Linked DNA regions of Neodiprion lecontei. The main gene of each other region encodes a partner of the protein of the gene in region 3 in a complex. Links are inferred from orthologs where the notes say so. Each region holds a gene or a part of one and is shown on either strand. Other genes may lie near its edges.

Evidence for each region.
Region 1: splicing factor 3B subunit 3 (region 3) and WD40 repeat-containing protein SMU1 share a complex: the UniProt entries of both Homo sapiens proteins name them as parts of the spliceosome B complex. The link is inferred for Neodiprion lecontei from reciprocal best matches to the Homo sapiens genes SF3B3 and SMU1.
Region 2: splicing factor 3B subunit 3 (region 3) and microfibrillar-associated protein 1 share a complex: the UniProt entries of both Homo sapiens proteins name them as parts of the spliceosome B complex. The link is inferred for Neodiprion lecontei from reciprocal best matches to the Homo sapiens genes SF3B3 and MFAP1.

Annotation. Positions count from the first base shown.
Region 1 is NC_060260.1:6,244,767-6,248,521, forward strand, and holds WD40 repeat-containing protein SMU1, read right to left. Parts: upstream 2,581-3,755; 5' UTR 2,447-2,580; coding exon 2,421-2,446; intron 2,354-2,420; coding exon 2,287-2,353; intron 2,198-2,286; coding exon 2,054-2,197; intron 1,948-2,053; coding exon 1,833-1,947; intron 1,721-1,832; coding exon 1,078-1,720; intron 980-1,077; coding exon 878-979; intron 784-877; coding exon 447-783; intron 308-446; coding exon 209-307; 3' UTR 31-208; downstream 1-30. Other genes in the region: cleavage stimulation factor subunit 2, read left to right, coding at 2,871-2,931, 3,027-3,105, 3,328-3,755. UniProt on the Homo sapiens protein: Involved in pre-mRNA splicing as a component of the spliceosome. Regulates alternative splicing of the HSPG2 pre-mRNA. Required for normal accumulation of IK.
Region 2 is NC_060266.1:18,257,149-18,260,903, forward strand, and holds the start of microfibrillar-associated protein 1, read left to right. Parts: upstream 1-903; 5' UTR 904-1,075; coding exon 1,076-1,169; intron 1,170-1,313; coding exon 1,314-1,993; intron 1,994-2,235; coding exon 2,236-2,405; intron 2,406-2,810; coding exon 2,811-3,246; 3' UTR 3,247-3,755. UniProt on the Homo sapiens protein: Involved in pre-mRNA splicing as a component of the spliceosome.
Region 3 is NC_060262.1:21,779,522-21,783,276, forward strand, and holds the start of splicing factor 3B subunit 3, read left to right. Parts: upstream 1-835; 5' UTR 836-985; intron 986-1,151; 5' UTR 1,152-1,236; coding exon 1,237-1,633; intron 1,634-1,839; coding exon 1,840-2,012; intron 2,013-2,091; coding exon 2,092-2,588; intron 2,589-2,758; coding exon 2,759-2,924; intron 2,925-3,172; coding exon 3,173-3,341; intron 3,342-3,755. Other genes in the region: uncharacterized protein LOC107222893, read right to left, coding at 1-138. UniProt on the Homo sapiens protein: Component of the 17S U2 SnRNP complex of the spliceosome, a large ribonucleoprotein complex that removes introns from transcribed pre-mRNAs.

The DNA.
Region 1 (3,755 bases), on a different chromosome or scaffold from region 3:
TGCCGCAACAAATTATAACACGATTGTTCATTAGATTTAAGAACATATGATTTAATGACCTAATGGTAGAATACATGGTCGACATATGGAATATGCATTGATGGGGAGTCCGCTCGTTAGTTTATATCGTGTCTGGAATATGCCTATTTGACTTCGGCATAAGAAGGGTAATCGTACAATTCAACAATGCTTATGTTTATATGAAAATTTACGGTTTCCACAGTTTGAGAAGTCCGTCTTCACTGTATGAGCAGAGCAAGTTTTGATGCGGATGATGAGCTAACCCGATTACATCTTTTTCATGGATCTGCGAAAAACAATATTGACAATAGTTTTATCTCTTGCAAGTTTAATATTAAAATAAATCGAATAACAGGGCTTACGTTTGAAATTTCTAGGAAACGAGGTATTCGTTTCAATAAATCAATGACATTAGTTGTACTCACGTTGAGGGTTCGCTCAAGTTTTCCCGACGAAGTGGAGAAACAATACAAAACGAGATCCTCTCCAACACAGTATATGAATTCTCCACGCGGGCTAACACAGGCGCAAACGAAATCTCCACCTTCTCGTTTTCCACTGGAGAAGGATCTGACTATTTGTCCTTGCATGTTCATTATTACCACAGTGTTTGATCGATTACAAACGACAAAATGTTCCGGATTGCGAGGTAACGGATGGATACTGTTGACAGTAAGATCTGCAGCTCCCAAAGATTTGTATGTGCCTATGCACTCTGTTGTTTTCAAGCCCCAGAGCTTGACTGTTCCATCTGAGGAAGCACTGCAGATCAAAAATGTTTATTAATTTTCAATCAGTTTGAAGAAGCAGACTATGTGTTGGGAAAAAACTTAATTTTGTCACATAAATTTTTCACCTTATTATGCTGTGACCGTCCGGGGTGAAAACTACTTCATTGACAAATGAGATATGGCCTCGGAATTCTTTCAATGTCTTTCCAGACTTTAACCCGTGTATCCTGCAACAAAAAATTGTCAAACGTGAAAATAAATGTAATGGTTGTGCGAAAGAAATTCTGCCAAAGTTTATCATTTCTATTTTTACAAAATGACGTACCTTATAGTGGTGTCGAATGATGCGGATAGTATCTGACTGTTGTCTCTACTGAACTGAAGACAAGTGACACCTTTGGCATGTGCTTTTTCGAATCTGCGGAGGCATTGGCCACTTTGAACACGCCAAACTTTCATTTTCCCGTCTTGGCCACCACCGGCAAGCATTTCGCTATCGCGGCTAAATGACATTGATAAAACGGCTTGTTCCATCATCATGAAGTTATCCTGTGCCTGGTACTTCAAGTCTTTTCGTATTTTTCCAGTAGTAAAGTTCCACACCTCTATAAACCCGTCGACGGAGCCTGTTACCAAATATTGTCCATCTGGTGAAAATCTCGCACACTCAACATGTGACTTTTGCCCAAACTTAATTTGCTTAGATAACTGAGTTGGGTATTTTTCATCTTCCTGATCTCGAACAGCTGCTTTGCCTCTGAACAAATCTATGGTTGTGCCAGGAGGCAAGAGCCCTTGGTGCTGCTGCCATTTCAAAGCTTGTCCGAGCAAAGCTAGCAGCCTGCTGGATGGTACGACTGATACTTCACCCGCCAAAGCAGTTGCTATATGAGCTCTTCGCTTTTCCTTTGTACTTCCATCAGGGTATGCTTCCCTTGGGTCAAAGTAGGACCGTGCCAAAAGATTTTCTGGAGAAAAGTGGAAGGTGAGAAAAATTATTCAATTGAAAATTAAATAAACATCTGTAGCTTGTCAGTTAAGAAACTAGTTATGAAAGTTGTATTAGTTATTCTGTTTTACCAAGATGGATGTATCTTTCAGGTTCCTGCTGCTTCATCATTATCATCGGGTCAGTTTGCCTCAGCAGAGATCTAGCTGCGCCCAATTCTCTTAGTTCAATTAGTTCTAAAACAACCTGTGAATAAACATTTGTGATATCGGATTTCTGTTATAAGTTTGACAGTTCACCTGACTTTCTGCGTCTTTGAAAACATATGTAAACAATGAAAGTTGTTAAATACCTGTTCGTACAAATCAATGAGTTTTTTATCAGGCAATTTGAGGGACTGTGTCGCTTTAAGCACAGTATCCCAATGTCCATTGTTAATATCCGTAACAAATCCGTCAACGCTGTCAACTGTATTCAACGAGACACCAGTTTCCTCCTGGTTAAGTATTTAGAGGATTAAATTAACAGTTTGATCAATTAACAAGGAGTATTTCCTCGTAGGATTATGAATAAATTTAATATTACCTGCAAGGTTTGTAGTGTTTTTACAAGATTAGACTCCTTCAAGTACTGTTGAATCAGTCGTATAACACTGAAATAAGAAGATATTGTAGTTTGATCGGGACTAATAATTAATTATGTACAGAGTAGATACGTACTCAGCGGATTCAATTTCGATTGACATTTTTACGAGCGAACAACTATTTATTTACTTGCTGTCACAATGTTTACTTCGGTCAAAAGTTTAATACCATCCTAACCCTAAATAGCAGTCGGTAATAGAATGGCAGGCACTTGATATCGCGGCATTAAGTGCGGAACAACGTAGACGAGCGTTTCAGTAGTTGCAGAAAATTCCGCTAGGAAGACAATCATCAGTATCTATCTAAATATCTAGTCAATGACTTCGTTCCGTGGAAATATTATTATCAAGTTTATTATCAATTTAGTTTTGAATAACCCACGGTGTTCTTGTTGCATGTTGATTGATGTTGATCACGTTCGAATGAAAACACCTGTCTTCTGTCCTTCGGGTGACAAACGTTAATGTATCGTTCGAATTCGAGCAATAAACAAAATCTGTAAATTCGTAAATAAAAACAGCAAAAATGAGTAATTCAACTATTTCAGATCAATCCCTGATGGATAAATCAATGCGGAGTGTTTTTGGTAATTATGAATTAACTTTTTTTTGAATTATAACGCAATGAATTGTTAACCGGATAATTCAGTCGCCCAAAAATACGATTGCAATTAATTTTCAGTCGGAAATATTCCGTATGAAGCAACAGAGGAGAATTTAAAGGACATATTCAGCGAAGTTGGACCAGTTCTCTCATTCAAGTAAGTATGCTCCGTAACGTTCTTTACCCTAACCTCAAACAGTCTTTTATTGTGAAACAAAAAAAAAAATTCAATTACTTTACAGGAATTGGCAGGAAAAATCCATTAAAAAGTTTAAATTTATCTAACACTTTATTAGCATCTCATTATTTCCATAGTGAAAAATACTTATTATTGATTTATTTTGAAACTTGTGTATATCTTTTCGTATCTTTTTCTCAGGCTGGTTTTTGACAGAGAAACTGGAAAGCCGAAAGGATATGGATTTTGCGAGTATAAGGATCAAGAGACAGCGCTTAGCGCAATGCGTAACCTGAATGGCTATGAAATAGGTGGAAGGACACTGAGAGTGGACAATGCTTGCACAGAAAAAAGTCGGATGGAAATGCAAAGCCTGCTTCAGGGACAGAACACTGAAAATCCTTATGGCGAGGCAGTTCAAGCAGACAAGGCACCAGAGGCTATAAGCAAAGCAGTTGCATCGTTACCTCCTGAACAGATGTTTGAATTGATGAAGCAGATGAAGCTATGCGTGCAAAATAATCCAAACGAAGCACGACAAATGCTACTACAGAACCCGCAGCTTGCTTATGCCTTGCTTCAGGCCCAAGTTGTGATGAGAATTGTCGACCCTCAAACTGCAGTCAATA
Region 2 (3,755 bases), on a different chromosome or scaffold from region 3:
TCCAAACCCTCTCCTCTCCGCTCAGCTCCGCCCCCTCATCCCGCCGCACCGCCGGCAGCCCTTCCCTTCCCTTCGACGGCTAGTTTCTCACGACGTAACTGAACGACTTCCCCTACCCGCTATAATATCTTGTCAGCCGCCGAGCCTCATCGTCAGAAACTTTCGCTCGCCCCCTTTCCACTACTATCAAACCGCTGAGTAACGAAAAACGATCGTGGTTCGGGAGGCTGTGAGAACTACCCGCACTATCTTTGGATTAATTCTCGAACTTGATCCGTACCAATTGATAAGTTCGAACACTCCTCGAACGCTGTTTGCAACTACATTATTTTTATTCTTCGACAGCTTAGACGCTTCAATGCCTCCGCTGCTTCGCTAACTGAGCACATGTCTGTTGGTAGTCGCTGAATTTCTTGTGTTCAATAGAGCCATAGAAGATTTGTTTACTTCGATGTTTCTCACACAATTTGTGTCAAAATGAGCCTTCTAATATGTATTCGAATTCTCGAAACGTGTCCGATGCGTTGGATGTTTGATAACACTGAATTTTATTCATTGCTGATTCAAATGATTTATCAAATATCAGTCGATGGTGCATTAGAAATGTTGATCAGATGAATTGCTTACCTACAATAGTCGATTGATCAGCGAATTATCTCCTCTGTCGGTAACAATGGTAACGGCACAACTGATATTGGACTGGGCACGTTGCTGGGTGTATTTGATGCGATTCCAAACATATCCTATGAGCACTGAACATTCCCTGCAAGTGAAACAGAATTCACTAATTATAAAAAACATTAGTGCAAAAGAGATAGAAAAATCTGCCAGTGCTGTCAACATCAAAACCAACCACCAGCGATGAGATCTGGATATCACAAGGTTACCAACCAAACAGCTGAACCAAATGACAAGGCTGGTAAAATGGCGTTTTGTTGTTGAAGCTGGTTGAAGCAGAGATGAGTAGGGAGTGAAGTCAAGTCCATGTTATTGACTCGCACGCCGTGAGCTGCTGTGAATTGCGATCATACGACAGCATTTGTAGATGACCGGTTAAACAAACAATTTCTATACAATGATGGATTATTTTGTGACTAATAACTCGTTGGCACCAGCACCCATGGGTATACAAAGTACCGCGGGTGCAGTGCCAGTTAAAAATGACAAAGGTGAGCTGATTTATTATGTGAGACACCTGTTTACTGTACTCCCAATAAGTTGCATACGTTTTAAAGCTTACTTTATTATGAAATTTAGGCATAAAGTTTTGTACAATTGAAGATATGCATTCAATTTTCGTTCAATATTTTCAGGCGAATTGTCGATGAAAAAGGTTAAGGTCCATCGTTATGTGTCCGGCAAACGTCCCGATTATGCGCCTATGGCGAGTTCGGATGAAGAGTCCGAGGATGAAGATTTCATGGAAAAGCGAACACTCAAACCTCTCGAGGAATCAGAGACTGTAACTGATATCCCTGTTCCGTCACACGGTAAACTGAGGGACGAGGATGATCCTAGGCTGAGGCGTTTAACTAGAATCGAGAAGCACAAGGAGGTCGATACAGAAATTCGTGTTGAAAGGCATCGGCACATTCACGAACCTGAGGTATTGGAGACTGAGCCTGAGCGAACGCGCGAAAGGATAAAATTGGAGAGCTCAGATTCCTCGGAGGATGAAGATTTGTCCGATTCTGAAATTGAAAGACGTCGAGACGCATTGAAACAGCGAGTTTTATCTAAGAAGGAAGCTGACCAGGAAATGTTTCATGAAGAAGATGAGGAGAAGCTCCGAACCAACAGCTCCGAAGATAGCTCAGAGTATGAAGAATACACCGATTCTGAGGAAGAAACTGGACCGAGATTGAAACCTGTTTTCGTCCGGAAAAAGGATAGGATCACTGTTATGGAAAAAGAGAAGGAAGCTATGAAACAAAAGCAGGCCGAAATAGAAGCCAAGAAAATGGCAGAGGAAAGAAAAAGGCAGACATTGAGGGTAATCCTTTTGGAAACTGATATTCATTCAATCTTGAATCCTTTCTAAACATGTTTTCACCCCTTATCAAGGTATTAAGGAAAGAGAAACTTTATATGTTGCGATTTCTTTCTTGTTCACTAACGACAAGCTTCACTTACCAACTTTTCGTCCAAGTAGACATTAAACAATCGAGCTAAACTAGACTACACACTTTGAAAATTGTGAATCTTTCGGCTGATGTTGATTTTGGTTATTTTTAGATGGTAGAAGACGCTATACGAAAAGAAACCCAAACTGGCAAGACTATAGTAGATCAGGAAGGAAACATAAATGATGTTTGCACCGACGATGAGAACGACGAAGTGGAATATGAGGCATGGAAACTACGCGAGTTGAAGAGAATAAAACGAGACAGAGAGGAACGAGAACAGTACGTAAACTCAAGAATATTTTCCACTCAAATCATTCTTTTAAAGATATCTTTGGGAATTCGTTTAATTTGAAACTGAAAAAACCATACTGCTAAAAATTTCGAACAAACGGAACATAAAAATGCCTGGGTTTTCAAAAAAGTCTAACTACCAATAAGGTTGAATTTAGTAACATTAACGCGTCGAAATATTGATAAAGAAGTACTATTTTGTAATGTTTAGATGACTAAAGAAGTTTTCGTGAAATACAAGAATGTTTCACCTCATTACGGTTCACTGAATTTTTGACAGTCCCAAAGTTGGGATATTTTTCCTAAATATGCATCGCGACATTATTGTTACAAATTTCAGTCTCATGACTACCACTGTAATCCAACTCAACCCTATATTTTTCTATCCAACAGATTGGAAAAGGAACGGTTAGAGATAGAGCGACTTCGCAATATGACAGAAGAAGAGCGTCGTCAGGAACTGCGTCTAAACCCAAAATTGGTAACGAACAAAGCAGCGAAAGGAAAGTACAAGTTTTTGCAGAAGTACTACCATCGCGGTGCATTCTATTTGGACAAAGACGATACAATTTTCAAACGAGATTTCTCTGGTGCAACGTTGGAAGATCATTTCGACAAAACTATATTGCCGAAAGTAATGCAAGTGAAAAACTTTGGGCGTAGCGGTAGAACCAAGTACACACATTTGGTAGATCAAGACACAACGCAGTTTGATTCACCATGGATTTCTGAGACCGCTCAAAACTTAAAATTCCACAATAACCAAGCTGCTGGAATGAAACAAGTTTTCGATAAACCATCGCTAAAAAAACGAGGCAATGAAAATTGATATGGTGCAGGATGAATTGTGTCTTTACAATGTTGGGAAATGAGACTAGGACCATTTACAAATGTTCAGTTTCACTTTACCTGTTGCGGACAATTCCGTTTGGGTCTTTAAAATTGAGGAACCCACTACGGGAAGGAAGAAATTACTTATTCATAACTCGGGTTATTTTTGTATAACTGATATCAATTTTACTCTTTAATTCATTCAATACAAAAATTTGACAATAATATATTTCTGGTTCACATTTAAAGCCCCAGTCATTCATCATAATTCTGGGTGAAAGATAAGTGTGGTAAAAAGGCGTTGAATAAATTTATAGGCATTTTCATTTTGAAGTAAAAATTACCCACAAAATAACTTTCACCTCGAAAATTATGAGCCAATGAAATTGTGATTTCAAATCATCGGTGACTAACAACTAGTCTGCATGTGTACATACAAAAGCCGATCGTTACTCTGGATATAGACGTAATTCAATACTGGAATGCCTACAATGTAATCGTAGGAAA
Region 3 (3,755 bases):
AAGCTGCAGCAGCATGTACATTTTCTCAGTGACATATCCAGCCCCGTTCGCTCCCCCCGGATAACCACCTCCAGGAGGTCCCATCTCTGTCTGCATACCCTTAGCCACTATATTTTTCATAGTTTCCGCCAAGTCCATTCTGGAGATAATAATAATAATGATTAAAAACACACATTAGATAATGTGCGATATACGTGGTGCTCGGAATTGTTTGGGACCAAATAACAAGCTATTGTTTACCTCAGAAAATCTGTCAAAATTGCGGAATCAGTGACATTTTATTCCACGGTGCTTTTTTCTCTGTTTTACTTCGTGTTTATTGGTACACGAGAAATTTTGTAGAAAAAAAAATAATCGGTCTGTAGACATGTTTGATATCTGCCACGAATCCCGGGTACGCCGCGAGGCTAACGATATTTATTGCTTTCGGCCATTGTTGTTTTCGGCAAATGCAGAAGCAGCGGGCGGCAGTCAGTCGGTGCCCAGGGAGTGTGAAAAAAACATTAGCCGATTAAGCCGCCGCCCCCCTCCTGTCTGGCTTTATATTATTTCGGTTAACTTACCCCAGCCGGTATCACCGCAGCATTCACAGCACCGTTGTTATCACAAATTTAGGGCCTAATCGCCCCTATACTATCATTTTACAATTAATTAACTACTTTGCATTTGCAAATATAACATAAATCGCAATTATTATATCCGCGAGTATAGCTTGCCCATACACCCGCCAGGGGCGGTTGGTAAATTTTCTACGGTTTGCTCCCTGGAAGCTTTTAGCTTATACGTCACTTCCGCGACGCTCATCAGCGACCAGACGTAACTTCCGTTTTCGATCCCTCCCGCGGTGGAACGACGGTCACCGCCATTTTCATTTCATCTCTCCGAGTCGCCGTGCCGTGTCCACGTTTCGGCTACGCGGTCCCGAAACATTAAATAAAAATCCGCTGACATCGGCGGATTTTTACGAATTCGAAACACCTATCAGGTAAAGTCTTGTTCATCTAATCAGTCTCTCTCTATATCATGTCGTATTTATCTTCCCAAACAACTTCGTAACCCGAGAAATGCATTTTCATCAAAACTACGTATAGGCGCGGCGGTTTTTTTTTTCTACCCGACAGCTTATTCATCGCGATTATTTCTCTTTGCAGCATGGCAGCCTGAAACTTATCTGCGAGCACGAAGCTAACGCTGACAAATTAAACTTCTTATAACGGATTATCAGCCGCATTCACGATGTATCTGTATAATCTAACACTGCAGCGCGCCACCGGCATCACCCATGCCGTCCATGGTAATTTTTCCGGCAGTAAAATGCAAGAGATACTTGTGTCACGCGGCAAGTCGCTCGAGCTGCTTAGGCCCGACCCGAACACTGGAAAAGTTCACACCCTCTTGACCGTCGAGGTTTTTGGCATCGTCAGGTCTCTTATGGCCTTCAGGCTTACGGGGGGCACCAAGGATTACATTGTCGTTGGGTCCGACTCTGGTCGCATTGTCATTCTAGAATATATTCCTGCTAAAAATGCCTTCGACAAGGTGCACCAAGAAACCTTTGGCAAAAGTGGTTGCAGAAGAATTGTACCTGGACAATATCTAGCCATTGATCCAAAAGGAAGAGCAGTTATGATCGGTAATTATGAGAATTTAAATTTTTTACTCAGCTTAACTGTGACCAGTTGTGTGCTAAATGATGCTGATCTTATGATCCGTGTTTCAACTGATTATCCATTGATTACAAACTTACAAACTGATGGTACTATTAAAACTGGTAGTTTTTTTAATTGAATCAATGTAATATAATATTTTCATTTCTGACGGTAAAATTGGCTTTTTCAGGTGCTATCGAGAAGCAGAAACTGGTTTACATATTGAACAGGGATCCAGAAGCCCGTTTAACGATCTCGTCTCCCCTTGAAGCCCACAAAAGCAACACTCTAGTCTATCACACAGTTGGTGTAGATGTTGGATTTGAAAATCCAATGTTTGCCTGCTTGGAAATTGACTATGAGGTGAGATACACATTCCTTGTGATTTATTTGCAAGGGTTGTGAAAGGTAATTAATTTTGCTTTTCGGCTTCCCTGTACAGGAAGCAGACAGTGATCCGACTGGAGACGCAGCTGTTAAAACTCAGCAAACGTTAACCTTATACGAGCTTGATCTTGGATTGAATCACGTAGTGAGAAAGCACAGTGAACCTCTAGAGGAGCATGCAAATTTCCTTGTTTCTGTTCCTGGAGGAAATGATGGTCCCAGCGGTGTCCTTATCTGTTCAGAAAATTACCTAACCTACAAGAATCTTGGGGATCAGCACGATATCCGTTGCCCAATTCCCAGACGTAGAAATGATTTGGACGACCCTGAGCGCGGGATGATCTTCGTCTGCTCAGCAACTCACAAAACCAAGAGCATGTTCTTCTTTCTTGCCCAAACTGAGCAAGGGGATATTTTCAAAATCACCTTGGAAACTGATGAAGATATGGTAACGGAAATAAAACTCAAGTATTTCGACACAGTGCCTGTCGCCACAAGCATGTGTGTCCTGAAAACAGGTTTCTTGTTCGTCGCCTCTGAATTTGGAAATCAGTAAGTCTAATTTTTAGCTGAAACATCACGTGATCTTTTTATCAATCCGTTTATCCAACCAATTACCAGTGGTTTCAACTTTTGATACTGATGATGTTAACCATTTATGGCTATGTCGGTTCAGCTTCCAATTGATCAGACGTGTTTGTAATCGTTATACTTAATTGCAGCTACCTGTACCAGATTGCTCATCTTGGTGACGATGACGACGAACCAGAGTTCAGTTCAGCAATGCCACTTGAAGAAGGTGATACCTTCTTTTTTGCTCCCAGACCACTCAGGAACTTGGTTTTAGTTGATGAAATGGACAGCCTATCACCGATCATGACTTGTCAGGTACCTAAAACTGAAACTACTTTTTCAATATCCAAAATTAGGGAAGCATTTCCAAGTAGGAGATCGAATCATCATTGCACTTTCTCCTGAGTTGTAATGCGATAAAAAAAATTCCTTGTCGCCTTTGTTTTGTACTATTACAAGCCGAAGTGAATCAAGGAATGATAATCACTTGAGATGTTTTACAATCTCGTTATCCGTGTTTTGGGACAGCAAAATAGATCATTTTGCTTGCTTCGTGTATGCAGGTCGCTGATTTGGCCAATGAAGATACTCCTCAACTGTACATGACTTGTGGTAGAGGTCCAAGATCCACGCTGCGAGTTTTGCGTCATGGACTAGAAGTTTCGGAAATGGCAGTCAGTGAGCTGCCTGGAAACCCAAATGCAGTCTGGACAGTGAAACGAAGAGTTGACGGTTAGTTCAAGTTTTATAGTTCAAAAGATAAACAGGAACGTTTTGTTGATCCACTTGCAAGAAGATGCAAGCCTGTCGTAGCCCTGGAAACGTGCAGTGTGTTCGTTTCATTTCATTCATTTGCAAGATTTTTAACGCAGTATTCAAATCCGCTAGCTAGAGTCCGTTTAAAAAGAATATTAACGAACCTGGTGGCTTGATACACTTTTATCAAACACCAGTTCTCTCTTTCAGGCTGCCAGCGAGCTAGTGGTTGACTGATGCAATGCAGAAAGACTAAAAGGTGAGGATCCTATCGATGGGTCTGGGATAAGTCCGACCTGAGAAACAAAACGAAAAAAAAACTTAGTAAAATGCGTCGCCCCTTGTACACCAAGATGCGGTCATTTTTCCGCGCGTCTCAACGTTCTTTAC